Callithrix jacchus: one gene and its partners. The protein of the gene in region 2 binds, or shares a complex with, the protein of the main gene of each other region. Links are inferred from orthologs where the notes say so. Each region holds a gene or a part of one and is shown on either strand. Other genes may lie near its edges.

What was found. Proteins that work in one complex are often made in the same cells at the same time.
Region 1: PPIL2 (region 2) and ARMC7 share a complex: the UniProt entries of both Homo sapiens proteins name them as parts of the minor spliceosome. The link is inferred for Callithrix jacchus from reciprocal best matches to the Homo sapiens genes PPIL2 and ARMC7.
Region 3: PPIL2 (region 2) and SCNM1 share a complex: the UniProt entries of both Homo sapiens proteins name them as parts of the minor spliceosome. The link is inferred for Callithrix jacchus from reciprocal best matches to the Homo sapiens genes PPIL2 and SCNM1.

What each region holds. Positions count from the first base shown.
Region 1 is NC_133506.1:131,044,974-131,050,237, reverse strand, and holds the end of ARMC7 (armadillo repeat-containing protein 7), read right to left. Parts: intron 3,404-5,264; coding exon 3,042-3,403; 3' UTR 1,564-3,041; downstream 1-1,563. Other genes in the region: NT5C (5'(3')-deoxyribonucleotidase, cytosolic type), read left to right, coding at 77-250, 517-617, 702-762, 943-1,057, 1,162-1,316. UniProt on the Homo sapiens protein: As a component of the minor spliceosome, involved in the splicing of U12-type introns in pre-mRNAs.
Region 2 is NC_133502.1:193,646,737-193,653,157, reverse strand, and holds part of PPIL2 (RING-type E3 ubiquitin-protein ligase PPIL2), read right to left. Parts: intron 4,920-6,421; coding exon 4,868-4,919; intron 2,283-4,867; coding exon 2,191-2,282; exon of another isoform or gene 1,171-2,190; intron 1,165-1,170; coding exon 1,075-1,164; intron 925-1,074; exon of another isoform or gene 822-924; intron 406-821; coding exon 330-405; intron 1-329. UniProt on the Homo sapiens protein: Has a ubiquitin-protein ligase activity acting as an E3 ubiquitin protein ligase or as an ubiquitin-ubiquitin ligase promoting elongation of ubiquitin chains on substrates.
Region 3 is NC_133519.1:11,061,385-11,066,868, reverse strand, and holds the end of SCNM1 (sodium channel modifier 1), read right to left. Parts: intron 5,322-5,484; coding exon 5,233-5,321; intron 5,133-5,232; coding exon 5,035-5,132; intron 4,930-5,034; coding exon 4,841-4,929; intron 2,577-4,840; coding exon 2,382-2,576; intron 1,717-2,381; coding exon 1,617-1,716; 3' UTR 1,564-1,616; downstream 1-1,563. Other genes in the region: TMOD4 (tropomodulin-4), read left to right, coding at 1-133, 387-531, 921-943. UniProt on the Homo sapiens protein: As a component of the minor spliceosome, involved in the splicing of U12-type introns in pre-mRNAs. Plays a role in the regulation of primary cilia length and Hedgehog signaling.

The sequences.
Region 1 (5,264 bases), on a different chromosome or scaffold from region 2:
CTCTCCCTCCCCCTTCCTCCCCGCGCTTCCGGCCGGGCTGGTGCCCCTACGAGCCCGCAGTCCCTGCCTGGCGGCGATGGCGCGGCGCGTACGCGTGCTGGTGGACATGGACGGCGTCCTGGCTGACTTCGAGACCGGCCTCCTGCGGGGCTTTCGCGACCGTTTCCCCGGGGAGCCGCACGTGCCGCTGGAGCAGCGCCGCGGCTTCCTGGCCCGCGAGCAGTACCGCGCCCTGCGGCCCGACCTGGCGGTAGGGGGCGCGGGGTCCCCACCCGGGCAGGGCCGGCTACCACCGTTCGCGGGGCCACCTCTTCTGTGTGAATGGAGCAGAGCTCTCACCCCAGAACCCGCGGGCAGCGCACCCTGGGGAGGAGTCTTTGGGCGCGTGCCCCTGAGCGAAGCCCCCTCCGCAGCCCTGAGCCGGAGCCCGGAGCCCCTAGGAAGCTCCCTGCGAGTCCTCGCTGGAGCTGGCTCTGTCAGAGGCAGAAACCGGGACTCAGATCTCTTGTCTTTCAGGACAAAGTGGCCAGTGTGTACGAAGCCCCAGGCTTTTTCCTGGACCTGGAGCCCATCCCGGGGGCCTTGGACGCCGTGCGGGAGATGAACGACCTGCCGGAGTAAGGAGGGCGAGGGCGGGCGGAGGCCTGGGTGGGCTTCGGACTCCCGGCTCCCAGCAGTGACCACGTCCTCCTCCTCCGTAGCACGGAGGTCTTCATCTGCACCAGTCCCCTGCTGAAGTACGACCACTGTGTGGGTGAGAAGGTGTGGCTGCCCGGCCCCCCACCGCACATGGAGCTGCCTAAATCCTGATTTTAAAAAGAAACCACTAGAACTAGAAGGTTGGGGGTGGGGGGCGGGCTCTCAAGGGCTTAGGCCCCACTCCTTGCCCCTGAATTCCGGCTCCCATCAGGCCCTACTGATAGACCTGTGTCTCTTACACAGTACCGCTGGGTGGAGCAGCACCTGGGGCCCCAGTTCCTAGAGCGAATTATCCTGACAAGGGACAAGACGGTGGTCTTGGGGGACCTGCTCATTGATGACAAGGACACAATTCGAGGTTGGATCCGTCATCTTTGGCAGCCTTCAGGCCTCTGGCCTACCCGGAGTAGGGAGGGGGAGTAAAAATAACCAGATGACAGCGGGCTGCCTTTCCTGTCCTAGGCCATGAGGAGACCCCAAGCTGGGAGCACATCTTGTTCACCTGCTGCCACAATCGGCACCTGGTCCTGCCCCCAACAAGGAGACGGCTGCTCTCCTGGAGTGACAACTGGAGGGAGATCTTAGACAGCAAGCGAGGAGCTGCGCAGAGGGAATGAGAGGGATGCCGCGGGCAGCGGCTGAAGCTGAAGGGCAGGCCCGCAGGGGCCACCGCAGAGCCGAGTCAGGGTGGCATTGTGCTGGTCGCTGGCCCCGTGGAATGGAGCAGGTAGACACCATAACCTCTGTGTTGCCAGGCCACAGGCCCAGCCCCTGGTACCTCCCGAGAGGCTGCCCCTGGACCCTGGCTGGCATGCAAATAGGGTGGGAAAACTAGTCAGGACCCTTTTAATAAAAGACCTTGGCTTTCTAGTCTTCTAGGATGCTTTATTTGGGAGTGTAAAGGGACAGGTTCCCTGGGTGGATGCTGATGAGCCCTGCCCTTCCCTCTGAGTCCAGTGGCCCCCGAATCTACCCCATTTCCACCCCCATTGTGGATACCATTCCTGTAGCACTTGCCAGTCCTGGGCCATCTAAGGGGTCAGCCTTGAAGGGGTACACAAGAGGCAAGAACCCCCCATTTTCCCTGAGCTCCAGCTTTCCATCGGGTCCCACGTACCTTCTGTTGACCAGGGCACATCGCGCACATGGAGCCACATCCTTTATGTTGCTGTCTCTTCCTGTCTCCCTTGAGCACCACTCTTTCACTGCGTCCCTGATGCCCTCACGAGATGTACTTCTGGGGTAGGGGCTCCCCATCACTGAGTATGACAGCGTAGGAGGAGGGTGAGGGGGAAAGATGCAGCTCCCCAGGGTTATGCCTCCATTCCGATGTGTCATCACTCCCATGGCCTTTTCTTGATGCCTGATGGCCACATGAAGTCACTGGGCCATGTCACTCAAGGGCAGGGACCCCCATCATCTTGGAGTCCCTTATGTGGTGCCTGGCAGAAAGCAGGACTGGGCAGATGATTCATGCTGGGCCACAGGTTATCCAGGTTGGCATCCCCACACCCAAATGCCCGGCCTGGAGAGCCCCTGGGGGAGGTATCCGTCCTCCACAGCCCTCAAGGGAGGCACCACACCTTCCCAGGGTGAGATCCTTTCACCGTGAGGCATCTCATTCCTGTCCCTGAGAACTACTCCGGACACTTCTGTTAAGGTTAATCCCCTATTTTCTGTTATGAAGGTAGCTCTCTTAAGCGTCAGTCCCAGTTGCTGAGAACACTGTCCTGCAAAGCCTCTGGGTCTGGGCATGTGGCTGCTTTTTTTTTTTTTGAGATACAGTCTTGTTCTATCACCAGGCGCCAGGCTGGAGTGCAGTGGCGCAATCTCAGCTCACTGCAACCTCTGCCTACCGGGTTCAAGCATTTCTCCTGCCTCAGCCTCCCGAGTAGTTGGGACTGTAGGCGTGTGCCACCATGCCTGGTTAATTCTTTTATTTTAGTAGAGACAGGGTTTCACCATGTTGGCCAGGATGGTCTCAATCTCTTGACCTCATGATCCGCCTGCCTCGGCCTCCCAAAGTGCTGAGATTACTGGCGTGAGCCACTGCACCACGTAGCTGCTGCTTACACTACCGCCTGGCAGTGGTGGCACTGGACATAGGGTTGAGTGCAGGCCTATGGAAGCAGCTCCAGTTTCTTCATGTGTCTCTGAGTCTGGCTTCCTTAACTGAATGGCATTTCATCACAGTGTAAATACCTGTCCTGCTGAAAGAACTCGCCTTTCCAATGGCCGAAAAGGCACCACTTGGGCAGCATGTCCTCCCCCTGTGCCCTGTGTCCACACCAGGCCCGTGGTCTCCAGCAGTAGGAGTGCTATAGTCTCAAGGTCTCCATGGATCAGCGCTGCTGTGGGGACACGCTCCTAGGCAGTGGGATACCCAGGGCAGAGTGCGCTTGCCGGCTGTGGGCCTCGGCCACCTGGCTAGGGGAGCAATAGTCCTCCAGGAAGATCTGCGCCAGGTTCCGGAGCCTGGCACTGGCTGAGAGGGAGAAGCGCAGCATGCACTGCACCACGGGTGCGGCAGTCAGCTCTGGGGGGCGGCTGGGGCCCAGTGTGCTCAGGTGTATGAGCGTGGTGATGGCAGACAGTACCGTCTCCTCGTTGGGGCTGGACAGGCAGTTGATGATGAGAGGGATGCCTCCTGCCTGCAGGATGTGTTCCTTGTTGGCCCTGTCTGGGCACAGGTTGCACAGGCCTCCTGTGGGAGAATAAGGAAGAATCTGTATGCTGCAGCCTCAGCCTTCCTCCCAGCTCCCCAGCCCATGAGCCCCAGGAAGGGACCCAGGCCAGAGAGAAGCTTGCCCCAGTACAAGGGATCCAAAGCCCATTCCAGCTTCCTGCCCTCTCAAGCTTTCAGAAAGGCCTTCCTGCCTGCTCCAGCCTGCCACAGCCCAGCTTTCTGAAAGTGGGCACAAATCCCTTTCCTTCTCAGTTCAATGGCTAATGTGCTTTTTTCCATTTCTTAAATGTAAAAAAGTAAAACAAAGCTGGGCACGGTGGCTCATGCTTGTAATCCCAGCACTTTGGGAGGCTGAGGTGGGTGGATCATCTGAGGTCAGGAGTTCAAGACCAGCCTGGCCAACATGGTGAAACTCCATCTCTACTAAAAATACAAAAATGAGTTGGACGTCGTGGTACGTGCCTGTAATCCCAGCTACTTGGGAGGCTGAGGAAGGAGAATCTCTTGAACCGGGGAGGCAGAGGTTGCAGTGAGCTGAGATTGTGCCACTGCACTCCAGCCTGGGTAACAGAGCAAGACTGTTTCAAAAACAAATAAATAAAATAAAAAACTAAAACAAAATCTGTAATACATCGTCGTCACCTTAGAACAATTTTTTTTGAGACAGTCTCTCTCTGTAGCCCAGGTTGGAGTGCAGTGGTGCGATCTCAGCTCACTGCAACCCTGCCTCCCGGTTTCAAGCAATTCTTCTTCCTCAGCCTCCCGAGCATCTGGGACTACAGGTGCTTACCATCATACCCAGCTAACTTTTTGTATTTTTTAGTAGAGACAGGGTTTTACCATGTTAGCCAGGATGGTCTCAATCTCCTGACCTCGTGATCTGCCCGCCTCGACCTCCCAAAGTGCCGGGATTGAGCCACAGCACTTTGGGATGAGCCACAGTGCCTGGCCAAGCAGAATTTCTAAGCAGAAAGACATGACCCAGGATCGGTAAGAGGAGGAGATACGGTGTAGCCACCCAGCGCTCTGTGCCAGGCAGATCCAGTGAGGATCTCAGCACTGCCACTGAGGACCAGGTGACCAGAGCCAGCTACTCAATTTCTCTAAGCCTTGGTTTCTTCACCAGTAAAACTAGCACAGAAATGAAATGATGTGATTAGCGCATCTTGTTTGGACACACAGGTGATGTGGAGTAAGAATCCACCTGTTCAGAGCCCAGAGGTTGGCAGTACCAGACTTGTAGCCCTCACATACGGAATAGTACCAGCACATACACACAGTTTATCAATGAGAAAGCAAGTGCCCGTGTAGCCAGTATCGAGGTGATCCATAAGCCTTCACATGTGCCTTTCTGATCCAATCCTCTCCCTCCCTCAGAGACACACACCTTGCTGGTTATACTGTATTACTATGTGTCTAGCATCATTTGCTAAATATGTTTGTAAGATTGCTGCATGCAACTGTAGATCTCAGTTTCGTTGCTAAATAGTAGAAGTATCCCATGATGTCAGTATCCATTCTCCTGCTGACCATCTTGGGTTTGGGACTGTTACAGACAGTACTGCTAGTGGCGTTTCACTGCATGTGCATGTCCCCTAGCCCTGTGGATTGAAGTGCTGGATCATGGAGTGTGCCTACTATCTTCAACTTTTTTGAGATGGAGTCTCGCTCTGTCGCCAGGCTGGAGTGCAGTGGTGTGATCTCAGCTCACTGCAACCTCTGCCTCCCAGGTTCAAGCAATTCTCCTGCCTCAGCCTCCCTAGTAACTGGGACTAGAGGCGCGCACCACCACTCCCAGCTAATTTTTGTATTTTTTAGTAGAGATGGCGTTTCACCATGTTGGCCAGGATGGTCTCGATCTCTTGACCTCGTGATCTGC
Region 2 (6,421 bases):
TGCTGGCTCCTCCGAGGTTACAGGACAGCCACCAGTGGCTAGGAAAACAGGAGGACCCTGTCACCCCACCACCTGCCCACTGAAGGCACCAGACAGTGCAGAAAGCAGGGGAACCTGCGCAGGCATCCTGGCAGGGCAGCAAGTCTATCCCACATGTTGTTTCTGAGGCTGCAGTTGACTCGGATTCTCTGAACACTGGCTTAGAAAATGCAGGATTTATCTGGGCTGGAACCCCTGACTCCCAGGAAGCTGGGGGCTTTGCCCAGGGAACACTGTCCCAATTTCCCCCAAATGCCTCCTCACCTAGCCCAGCCCCTGGTTGTACATACCTGGGTCTATTATTTTCATGTTATTCTTAACATGATAGAAGTTAGAGACATTGAACTTGTCCAAGTTGGTGGGGTCCTGTGGCAAAGAGAGAACACCCAGCAGAGTGAACCCAGCCTGCGGCCAAATGGCAGCCACATGTAGCAAAGGACGGGCAGGTGTCAGAGGTAGGGGGAGTCAAGCAGGGCATGGGGGAGGATGGTGGTCTGCCCCAGGCAGGGCAATAAGCAGGAGCAGGGACAGGGGCATAGCCTTGCTAGGTGCTGGCCGAGCTGCGACCTTCCTCCAGGCACACTCTAACGAGCTGTTGGTCACTGTTAGGAAGCTACTGGATAGGAACATGGGCAGCCATGGGGCTGACGTCTGGTTAGAATGGGACAAGCCACAGAGGTGACCGACTGAGCAGGCTGCCCCAGGCCGCACTCTAGCCATCACCTGCTTTTTTCTAAGTCGTGTTTTTCATTAATTCACTTGGGGTTCTCTGATATCTGCAGGGAGGTCTGTGCCAGACACCGAGGCCCATAGCTCACCACGGTTCCAGCCCTCAAGGCACTGGAACAGAACCAGGCCAGCAGAATGGCCATTCAGATGCCTCAGGTAGCTTTGGGGACAGGTATGAGGGGCCCTGACATGGGGGTCGGGGATCAGGGAGATGTGAGAGCCAGGCTACGGAGGTGGCCCCTGCAGAGGCCTGGGCTGGCTGTGGACACTGAAGGCAGCTGGGGCAGGTGGGCAGGGGACACTCACCTGGAGGGTGATGATGTCCTGCCGGGAGAAGGGCTCATCGCTTAGCAGGTCCCGGAAGTTCTTGGCCTTGATATTTAGCTGTTCCACTGCCTACAGCCAGGAAGAAGTGGTGTTACGATGCATGCCCCAAGCCTTGGCACAGGAGCCTGCGAGCAGGGAGGCCCAGAACTGGCACCATGACACCATTTGAGAGGCGAGGAACGAGAGAGACAGCAGTGTTCACCCCACTGATTGAAAGCAGTGGCCCCCACAAAGGCGGAGCTGGCTGGGCATCAGACGATGTGCCAGTTCAGCCTTGCAGCAACCTTCCTGCAGGAAGCTCTTGTCTACATATTGATCAGCAAAGTGGCTGGGCGAGCCACCCACCCACTCGCTGAAGCCTTCACTGACTACTTCCCATGCACAGGCATGGTGCCAGGCCTGTGGGCAGGGGCTGTGCACATGAGATGCCTGCACTCCTGGGGCCCAGTATAGCAGAGTCCTCAATCCACTACGAGGACCAACCATGCCAGTCTATGTAGGCTTCTGGCAAGAAGTAGCCCCTAAGGTCCCTGGAGCAGCGCTGGCCACCTATACTCCACCAATGTCCTGGTGCAGGACTGAAAATGGCACAAAGGTCGGGGCTTTCCTGCCACATAGGGCCTGTCCCGCCTCACCCCTGAGAGGAGGACCCATGTGTGAACATGGCTGCCTCCTCTCTTCCTACACCCACTCCCAGACAGAACTCCTCCAGGGGACAGCTCCTTCCTGGACACAACTGGCTCCATCGAGAGCCAGGGCCAGCACTCCTCTCACACCGTTCTCAGAGCACGGTGCCTTCCCAGCACCTAGGTTTTGCTGAAGATGCAGAAGGACCCCCTGCGAGATAAGGGTCCCTGCTTGCCAGCCAGGACTGCCTGATTCCAAAGGATGCAGCTCCCCCAACCCTATTCTTGACCTGCCTGAAATCTGGGAGGCTGTCATGCCAGAGCTTTGGCAGAGGCCGGTGCCTGTGGCTGTGACTGTAAACCCCACAAAGACAGGCCATGCCCGCAGCACAGCCCAGCCCATGTATCCTGGGAACACACAGCAGAGATCTCCCCACCGTGGTCTCCAGGCCCTGGAGCAAGGACACACCTCGTAGGCGTAGACGTTGCCGGTCGTCCTCACAGCCACGATGTGGGTGTTGTTGGTGAACACGGTGAACAGCACTGGGCAGTGGTACTTCCCTAGAGAGAAGGCACACACGGGGAGGCCAGTCACCTCTGTGGGCACTTGGGGCCAGGACAAGTCAGGACAGAACGCGGCCAAAGTTAGCGATGGGAGGAGGTGGAACCCCGTCAACTGCCAGAGTAGGGAACCAAGGGGACAGCTGCTTAGCCCCTCAAGCCCCTCCATATCATTAGGAAACTCCTATTCATCCCGCAAGGCCCAGTCCCTGCAGCATCTTCCTCACATCCTCCAGCACACCTCTGCTGACCGCCATGCTAGTCTCCTCCTCTTCTTGAAGTTGGCCCTCAGCAAGAAACAACCCATGCTCCAGTCCTGACGGCTCCACCTCTTACCCGCATTCCCCGCCAACCCCCTGCTCAGATCTTCCTTCAGAACTGCCCATCCCCTTGCCCGGCTACTGTCTCTTTTTTTGTTTTGTTCAGTTTTGAGATGGAGTCTTGCTGTGTCACCTAGGTTAGAGTACAGTGGCGTGATCTCAGGTCACTGCAACCTTTGCCTCCGGGGTTTAAGTGATTCTCCTGCCTCAGACTCCCAAGTAGCTGGGACCACAGGCATGCATGCGTCACCACGTATGGCTAATTTTTGTATTTTTAGTAGAGACAGGGTTTCACCATGTTGGCCAGACTGGTCCGGAACTCCTGACCTCAAGCCATCTGCCTACCTTAGCCTCCCAAGCCTTGGTTACTGTCTCTCTGCCTGTTAAGTCCCCACTGGGTGGGGACTTGAGCCCTTAGGGAGACCTCATCTCTACAAAAATGAAAATAAAAAAAATTAGCTGGGGCGGGGCACAGTGGCTCATGCCTATAATGCCAGGGAAGGTATGTCTGTGCCCAGGCAGGAGTCTGCGGCAGGGGCTGGAGTCTGTGATGGGCACAGGGGAGGCACATCACACTTCCTCTCTCCACTTTCATCCACGAAGAATAATTCCAATTAACAAAGAAACAAAGCAGACTGGCCTGTAATCCCAGCATTTGGGAGGCTGAGGTGAGTTGATTGCTTGAACCCAGGAGTAAACTTGGCCAACAGTAAAACCCTGTCTCTACAAAAAACACAAAAATTAGCTGGGTGCAGTGGTGGTGCCTGTAGTCCCAGCTACTTGGGAGGCTGAGGTGGGAGGATTTCTTGAGCCAAGGAGGCAGAGATTGCAGTGGGCTGAGACTGTACCACTGCATTCCAGCTTGGGTGACCGAGTGAGACCCCATTTCAAAAAAAAAAAAAAAAAAAAAGGAAACAAAAGAAAAGAAGCTAATTGCCATGTCAAAGTTTAAAAAAAAAAAAGCCAGACCTCACCCCTCCCTCAGTGGCTCCCATCTTGGGCAGAAGCCCAAGTCCTCCTGTGGCTCCCAGGGCCCACAGGACTGCTCTGCACCTGTCCCTGCCCCAACCTGTCACCACATCCCCTGCTTTCATCATTAGCACATGCTGTACCAGACATACTGGACTCCTGGCTGGGCACAGACACCCTCAAGCATGTGCCCACCTCGGGGTCTTTGCACTGGCTGTGCCATCGGCCCAGCCCTGCGCTCCCCTGAGCCTCTCATGGCTCTCCCTCCCTGAAGTGTGTCAGGGCGGCCCTCTCCTTGCTGTGCTCTCCACACGGAAGCAGCCTCTGGCATACCCTGCTGAGCTGCTCTCTGGCGTTCTTCCCCACCAGAACACATGCTCCTCTCAGCAAAGACTCAGCCTGTTGTGCTCTCTGCACATGGCAGGCACTCAATAAATATTTGCTGAATGAGAGACATACACTGCTGATCACAGACAGGGAGGCAGCCCACCTTCGGCCACCAGGGTGCAGCTCCCTGTCCTCCACCTTTGTCAATGACATGCTGAAGTTCACTCACTCATTTACCTGCGAACGCAGCATCAGCTAGGAACCGGGCTCTAGGCTCAGACAAGTGGGGCAAAAGGGCCATGGCCTCACATGCTACAGCATCTCCCTGGAATGCATGCACCCAGTGAGCATGGACAACCCCTAAATCATGGGATCTGCAAGGGCAGAAGACCTGTGCTAGAACCTAGGACAAGGTCAGCACCTGGGCAGGGGTGAGCTGTGTACCTCATTTAAGAATCTGACCACAAGAGCAGCGCAACGTGTGTAAGGGACATGAAGCAGGAGCTGCTGAGCTGGGCTGGGCTGGGCTAGGCCCTATGAGCTGTAGTGAGGAAACGCCCAGCCTGAGAGCTACCCGACAAATCCCTCCAGACCACCACATTCCCTCCCCAGCTGCTGCCCTAGTTCCCAGTGCAGAGCAACTTCTGCCTCCAAACAGACCACAGCCTCAGCCAGAGGAGGCCCATGCCCTGCAACTCCGACTATGCCCACAAAGGCCACTGGCAGCTCATGACGGCCCAATCACCTTTGTGGAAAGTTCCCAACACCCAAGATTCTGCCCCCTCCCATCTCCAGCCTAAAACTACCCAGATCTTTGAGAAGAAATCCTGTGACACTTTTTGAGGACTAAAAGCAGGTATCCAGCTTGGTCAGAAAGGAATGACTGATTCCATATGAGACCTGGTGAGAGCCAGGAGCCTGGGTCGTCGGCAAGCCAAGCCTAGAGTTGGCCCCAACGGTTCCACTCACCTTCACTGTTCTTGGCAAAGTTCAGCTTGATCAGGGACCTCCCGTCCAGTTTCTGGAAGAAGCAGAGTTAATAATGATAATGAATACGTGACTGATGCACAGAGATACTGGGGTCAAACAGAGATGGGCTGAAAAGGTCTCTGACCAGCCAACTCTGGGCAGCTCTGGACAAAAGGGAAGGCCCCAAGCCCCTGCAAGGACCTCATGTGGGCTGCAGGATGGCATCAGGCGGTTGTGTTTATGTGGCACCCCCACCATTCTCTGTGAAGAGCCATCACGGGTGATTCCGAGCTGAGACCAGGCCGCTGGGTGGTGGTATATTTCTGCAGGGTTTGGACATTTTTATGGTGAGCACAGATTACTTCTAAAATTAAAAAATGAACAAATTTCCCCAGGCGCAGTGGCTCATGCCTATAATCCCAGCACTTTGGGAAGCTGAGGCAGGCAGATCACAAAGTCAAGAGATTGAGACCATCTTGACCAACATGGTGAAACTCCATCTGTAGGAAATACACAAAACGTAGCTGAGCATGGTGGCAGGTGCCTGTAGTCCCAGCTACCAGGGAGACTGAGACAGGAGAATCGCTTGAACCCAAGAGGCGGAGATTGCAGTGAGTCGAGATCACGCCACTGCCCTCCAGCCGGGCAACAGAGTGAGAGTCTGTCTCAAAAAAAAAAAGGTATTTCTTCAGCTAGTGGGGCAACACACGGGTCTGCCTTATTATTCTGTTATGTGAATATTTAAGGAAAAAAAAACATTAAAAGTGGGGAGAAAGGGAAGAAATGCACCCCAACGCTACGAGTGGTTGTGTTGGGACGGTGGGACCCTCTATTTTTCTGTTTCTGGATGTTTTTTCTTTTTTCTTATTTCCCCCACTTCTGGTGGCGTGTCTGCAGTTCAGCTCTTCTACAGGAAACTTTCCCATAAAACAAAGTCTGGACAATCAGAGGCGGGAACTGCTGGGGGCGGGGCTGTCAGAGCTATGTGCTGCTGGGGAGCACCTCACTGGGGGCCACATCCCAGCAGCTGCTGCTAGCTGGTGTGGGCTGGGCCCAGCTCTGCCTACCCAGGACCAGGGGAGAGGCAGGAGGAGCCTCCTGGGCCTGGCCCTGAAACTGCAGCAGGCCCTCGTGCTGCCCTCCCCGCCCTCTGTGGGTCCTGCCTGCTGCTGGCCGGCCTAACTGACCACATCTGCTCCTCCACTGCCTTCATTCCTTCGTCATTTAACTACCCCCACCTTCCTACATCACTATAGGTAAGGAAGAGACCACCAGAGGGTCAACAGGGTCCCTATTCAGGCACAGGACCTGAGCAGGGACACCCCCCCACATACAAAACAGGCTCCTTCTGAGCCCCCAAAAGTCATATGGGCAAACCAGCCCTTGGCCCAGGGACTCTCCTCCAGAGGTTTGGCTAGCAAGGCTCTGCTGACGCCCATAGGTCTGTCCAAGCAAGCCCACAGCAAGACCCCTTCCAGAGCACGCCAGGGGAGAGGATAAGGACACATGGGGCACCCCTGCAAACTCACCCCAATATGACAACTGGAACAAAGA
Region 3 (5,484 bases), on a different chromosome or scaffold from region 2:
CATGTTGCGTGAGAATCGTAGCCTCCAGAGCCTAAACATCGAATCCAACTTCATTAGCAGCACAGGACTCATGGCTGTGCTGAAGGCAGTTCGGGAAAATGCCACACTCACTGAGCTCCGTGTAGACAATCAGGTCAGTATTCCCTTCCCCTGATGCTAGCATTCAGTCTCACTGAGTTTCCACACCGAGGCAGCCACTGAGGCAGCTATCTTTTTTCATCTCGTTTGAATTCTCTTCATTGTCTGCATGAGGGAAGCCAAGTCAGCATCTCTCTTCACCTACTGTGGAGAAACAAGCCTCTTTGACTTCCCAAAGGGATCTGTGGTCTGGGATGGTAAACAGCCCAGAGAGGGTGACTGTCAGCTTTTGCCTGTCCCTCCCCCAGCGCCAGTGGCCGGGTGATGCGGTGGAGATGGAGATGGCCACCGTGCTAGAGCAGTGTCCCTCCATTGTCCGCTTCGGCTACCACTTCACGCAACAGGGTCCACGTGCTCGGGCAGCCCAGGCCATGACCCGAAACAATGAACTACGTGAGTAACTGCAGACACGATGTGTGGGGTGGGCGGGGAAGTGCAGAAATGGGCGGGTCCTCCTGAAAGCAGACCTAAAGACTAACAGCCCAGGGTGCTTCCAAAGAGGTATTCACATGCAAAGTTCAAATCTCAACAGTGATCAGAAAGGAGACAGAAAACTCCACCTAGAGGGAGAAAGAATGCTAGAGATAGGAATACATGTTTAGAGGTATCATCATTTCGTTTGTGGTGTGGTTTGGTTTGTTTTGTTTATGTGGGATGGGCCTGTAAGGTGGCCTAAGACACTACCAATTTATAAGTTTGGCTAAGGGATTGGAAAGGAGAAGAGTCTTTGCAGAAAGCAGGAGCTGGAACCAACACTTAGGGTTAATCTTCCTGCTTTACAGGTCGCCAGCAAAAGAAGAGATAACACTGCATTTCCCTTTGCCAACCAGAGCTGGGAGCACTGGACACTTAAATCCTCATCTGTCCTCCTTTCCTGTAAATAAAAGCCCTTCTGTCCATTTTGCCTGCCTCCTTCCTTGGGCTTTCGGTGGGAATCTTGGCGCTAACCCCCAAGGGTTACTGCCAATTCACCAGGGGATTATTTATACTCTGGGGATCATCAGGCAGGGAAGTTCAGGTTACCAGTAGGAGGTGGGGGAGCTCCCTCCCTTGGTGTTCCCCATAACCTTGCCAATGCCTTTAGACTCTTCTACATTCTCAGGGTACTTAGCCTCAGCCCTGTTTCCAGATGTGGCCAGGTGCCCCCGGTGCCTACCCACAGTCTTCATGTGATTTGAAGGGGAAAGGACTTTAAATGGTAGTGGAGAAGGAGGCAGACAACATGAAGGGCAAAGACCTCTTTTAGACAGTCTTATTAATAGGGCACCGGGCTGACGCAGCTGACGCCTGGCATGGCTTTGGTAGAAGATGGGGGAGGGGTTAGAAGTATGGAGAGCTGTGTACATTGCAGGAAAGCAATAGCCAGAATGAGAATGAACAGATCTGAAATCCTGAGATCCGACAAGAAACCAGACTTCAGGAAAGTTAAGTTCTCAGCACCCCCTGCAGTTTATTTGTGAATGAATGGGAAAAGGCTGTCAGTCCAAGGGGTAATCAGGTGGTTCCTCCTCATCAGAGTCAAACTCAACATTTTCATCTTTTACCCATCGACCTCTTCCATCTGGGATCCATCCAGAGCTGAAAAGATCAGAGAAAATGGCATTGATCAGGAAAGAGGCTCATTAAGAAGTCAGTGGTGAGCTCACACCTGTAATCCCAGCACTTTGGGGGGCTGAGGTGGGTGGCTCACCTGAGGTCAGGAGTTCGACCAGCCTGACCAACATGGTGAAACCCTGTCTCTAGCAAAATAGTTAGTGGTGAGAAAAAAATTGAGAGTCATGTAAGTTGGGTGGCTAAAACAAAATGGAACCAAAGATAAAAAACAAAAATAGAAGTAAAAAAAAAAAAAAAGACTAGGCCGGGTGCGGTGGCTCATGCCTATAATCCCAGCACTTTGGGAGGCTGAGACGGGTGGATCACGAGGTCAAGAGATCGAGACCATCCTGGTCAACATGGTGAAACCCCGTCCCTACTAAAAATACAAAAATTAGCTGGGCATGGTGGTGCGCGCCTGTAATCCCAGCTACTCGGGAGGCTGAGGCAGGAGAATTGCCTGAACCCAGGAGGTGGAGGTTGCAGTGAGCCGAGATCGTGCCATTGCACTCCAGTCTGGGTAACAACAGCGAAACTCCGTCTCAAAAAAAAAAAAAGACCAAAAATAAGAAAAATTAAATTGAATACCTTTGAAAAATAGACGGTCAGAGAGAAAAGAAAATCTGAGGAAACTGATTGGGCACACTCACCTTCGAAGGGTGAGATAATGGTTCAGGGCTCGTCTTCTTGTGGGGCTCACAGGTGCAGGGGCTGAGACAGTTGCTGACTCCTCGGCCTGTGGGCCAGCCCCAGGCTCAGGTTCCCTACTGATCTTCCCACTTTGGAGTTCGACCTCTGAGGGTGGCATAGGGGAAAGGGAGACAGAGGGACCAGGGGCTTCTGGTCTAGGTAGAGAAGAACAGTCTGTAAAAGCAGTAAGGCTGAAAGGGCCAACTCTCCTATGACTCCCAACCGCTTAAAACTGTGCTTCTTAAACTGTATGACTCTATTTCTCAAGATATTAATAAGTTCTGCCTACAAAGGATTTTAGAATCATGAATTTGAGAAAGGCTAGCATAAACATTTTTAGGTTTTTTTTTTTTGAGACAGAGTTTTGCTCTTATTGCCCAGGCTGGAGTACAACAGCGCAATCTCAGCTCTTCGCAACCTCCGCCTCCTGGGTTCAAGCAATTCTCCTGCCTCAGCCTCCCAAGTTGCTGGGATTACAGCTATGTGCCACCATGCCCAGCTAATTTTGTATTTTTAATAGAGATGGGGTTTCTCCATTTTGGTCAGGCTGGTCTCAAACTCCTGACCTCATTTTTAAAATATACTTAAAATATACTGTTATTGGGCCGGGTGTGGTGGCTCAAGCCTGTAATCCCAGCACTTTGGGAGGCCGAAGCGGGTGGATCACGAGGTCAAGAGATCGAGACCATCCTGGTCAACATGGTGAAACCCCATCTCTACTAAAAATACAAAAAATTAGTTGGGCATGGTGGTGCGTGCCTGTAATCCCAGCTACTCAGGAGGCTGAGGCAGGAGAATTGCCTGAACCCAGGAAGCGGAGGTTGCGGTGAGCCGAGATCGCGCCATTGCACTCCACCCTGGGTAACAAGAGTGAAACTCCGTCTCAAAAAAAAAAAAAAAAAAACTTACTATTCTTCAAGTAGAATTACAAAGTGCCATTTCCCAAACTTTATTTAAAAATCACAAAATTCGGCTGGGCACGGTGGCGCACGCCTGCAATCCCAGCACTTTGGGAAGCTGAGGTGGGCAGATCACAAGGTCAAGAGATTGAGACCATCCTGGTCAAGATGGTGAAACCTTATCTCTACTAAAAATACAGAAAATTAGCCGGGCATGGTGGCAAGCACCTGTAATTCCAGCTACTCCAGAGGCTGAGGCAGGAGAATCACTTGAATCCAGGTGATGGAGGTTGCAGTGAGCCAAGACTATGCCACTGCACTCCAGAGTGAGACTCCATCTCAAAAAAAAAAACAAAAACACATCCTCCCTCCCTCTCCCCCTTTCTTTCTTTCTTTCTTTCTTTCTTTCTTTCTTTCTTTCTCTCTTCTCTTCTCCTCTCTCTCTCTCTCTCTCTCTCTTTTTTTTCTTTCGAGTGTTACTCTGTCACGCAGGCTGGAGTGCAGTGGCATGATCTCAGCTCACTGCAACCTCCAACTCCTGGGTTCAAGCAATTCTCCTCTCTCACCCTCCCGACAGGTTCAGGCAATTCTCCTGTCTCACCCTCCTGAGTAGTTGGGACTACAGGTGCCCACCACCATGCCTGGCTAATTTTCTGTATTTTTAGTAGAGACAGGGTTTCATCATGTTAGCCAGGATGGTCTCGATCTCCTGACCTTGTGATCTACCCGCCTCAGCCTCCCAAAGTGCTGGGATTACAGGCAAGAGCCACCACACCCAGCCCCCACCATTTTTTTTTTTAAGACGGAGTCTCACTCTGTCACCCAGGCTGGAGTGAAGTGGCATGATCTCGGCTCACTGCAACCTCTGCCTCCCAGGTTCAAGCGATTCTCCTGTCTCAGCCTCCCGAGTAGCTGGGGATTACAGGCACACGTCACACACCCAGCTAATTTTTTATATTTTTGGTAGAGATGGGGTTTCACCATGTTGGCCAGTCTGGTCTTGAACTCCTGACCTCAAGTGATCCACCTGCCTCGGCCTCCCAAAGTGCTGGGATAACAGGCATGAGCCACTGTGCCTGGCCAAAATTCTCCTTTTCTTGAAACACTAAGTAACATCTCCGGAATACCAGTGTTCCTTAGAATACACATTGGAGAACTTTTTTTTTTGAGACGGAGTTTAGCTCTTGTTACCCAGGCTGGAGTGCAATGGCGCGATCTCGGCTCACCGCAACCTCCGCCTCCTGGGTTCAGGCAATTCTCCTGCCTCAGCCTCCTGAGTAGCTGGGATTACAGGCACACGCCACCATGCCCAGCTAACTTTTTGTATTTTTAGTAGAGACCGGGTTTCACCATGTTGACCATGATGGTCTCGATCTCTTGACCTCATGATCCACCCGCCTCGGCCTCCCAAAGTGCTGGGATTACAGGCTTGAGCCACGCGCCTGGCCTCACATTGGAGAACTTTTAGAGCCATCTTTCTCCTTCTGAGCCTTCCGACCTCTGGCTTTCCCCTCCCATACCTGTACTTCCGGCGGCAGCAACTGTTATAGTCGGGGGCTCTGTGCAGAGCACTCTGGGTGATAAGTCGTGTCTGGGTTAGCAGAGGAGCCTGATAAGGAGATGGGAGACAGAGTCAGAGGCTTCAGCCCTCTTCCCTTCCAGCCTGGTGTGTGCAGCAGGGTCTTGACTAGAATACACTCTCCATTCTGATTACCTCAGCTTTGGTTTCTTCCCTTCTCAATTCATTCTGATGTCTTGGATTCTGCTTCCTCTCCTTTCCTGGCTGCTTCTTGCCATAGAAAAGCTGCAAGCCTGAGGAGAAAGGGAAACAAGACTAAAAGCATAGCACCAAGAGCGGTGTGCAGAAATTTCGAGGGTTTATTCCCCATACCCTGTCTTTCCCCAAACTTACTGGATAGATGTTTCTTGCCTGCTCGGTGGGCAGTCAGCATAGCCAGGGTGTCCAGTACTGGTCGATGGGGGCAGATGGCACAAGCAAAACTGAGCAGGGGGAGAGAAGAGGATAATTGGTCCAGGGGAAGAGGGTGGGGCCAGTCCCTACAGTAAGTCCCACCCTGTCCTAGCAGTCCTTTCCAAAGCCCAACTCCAGGTCATCCAATCCCCACTTCTTCCGATCCTCACTTCCGGCCAAGGAATCCTAGAT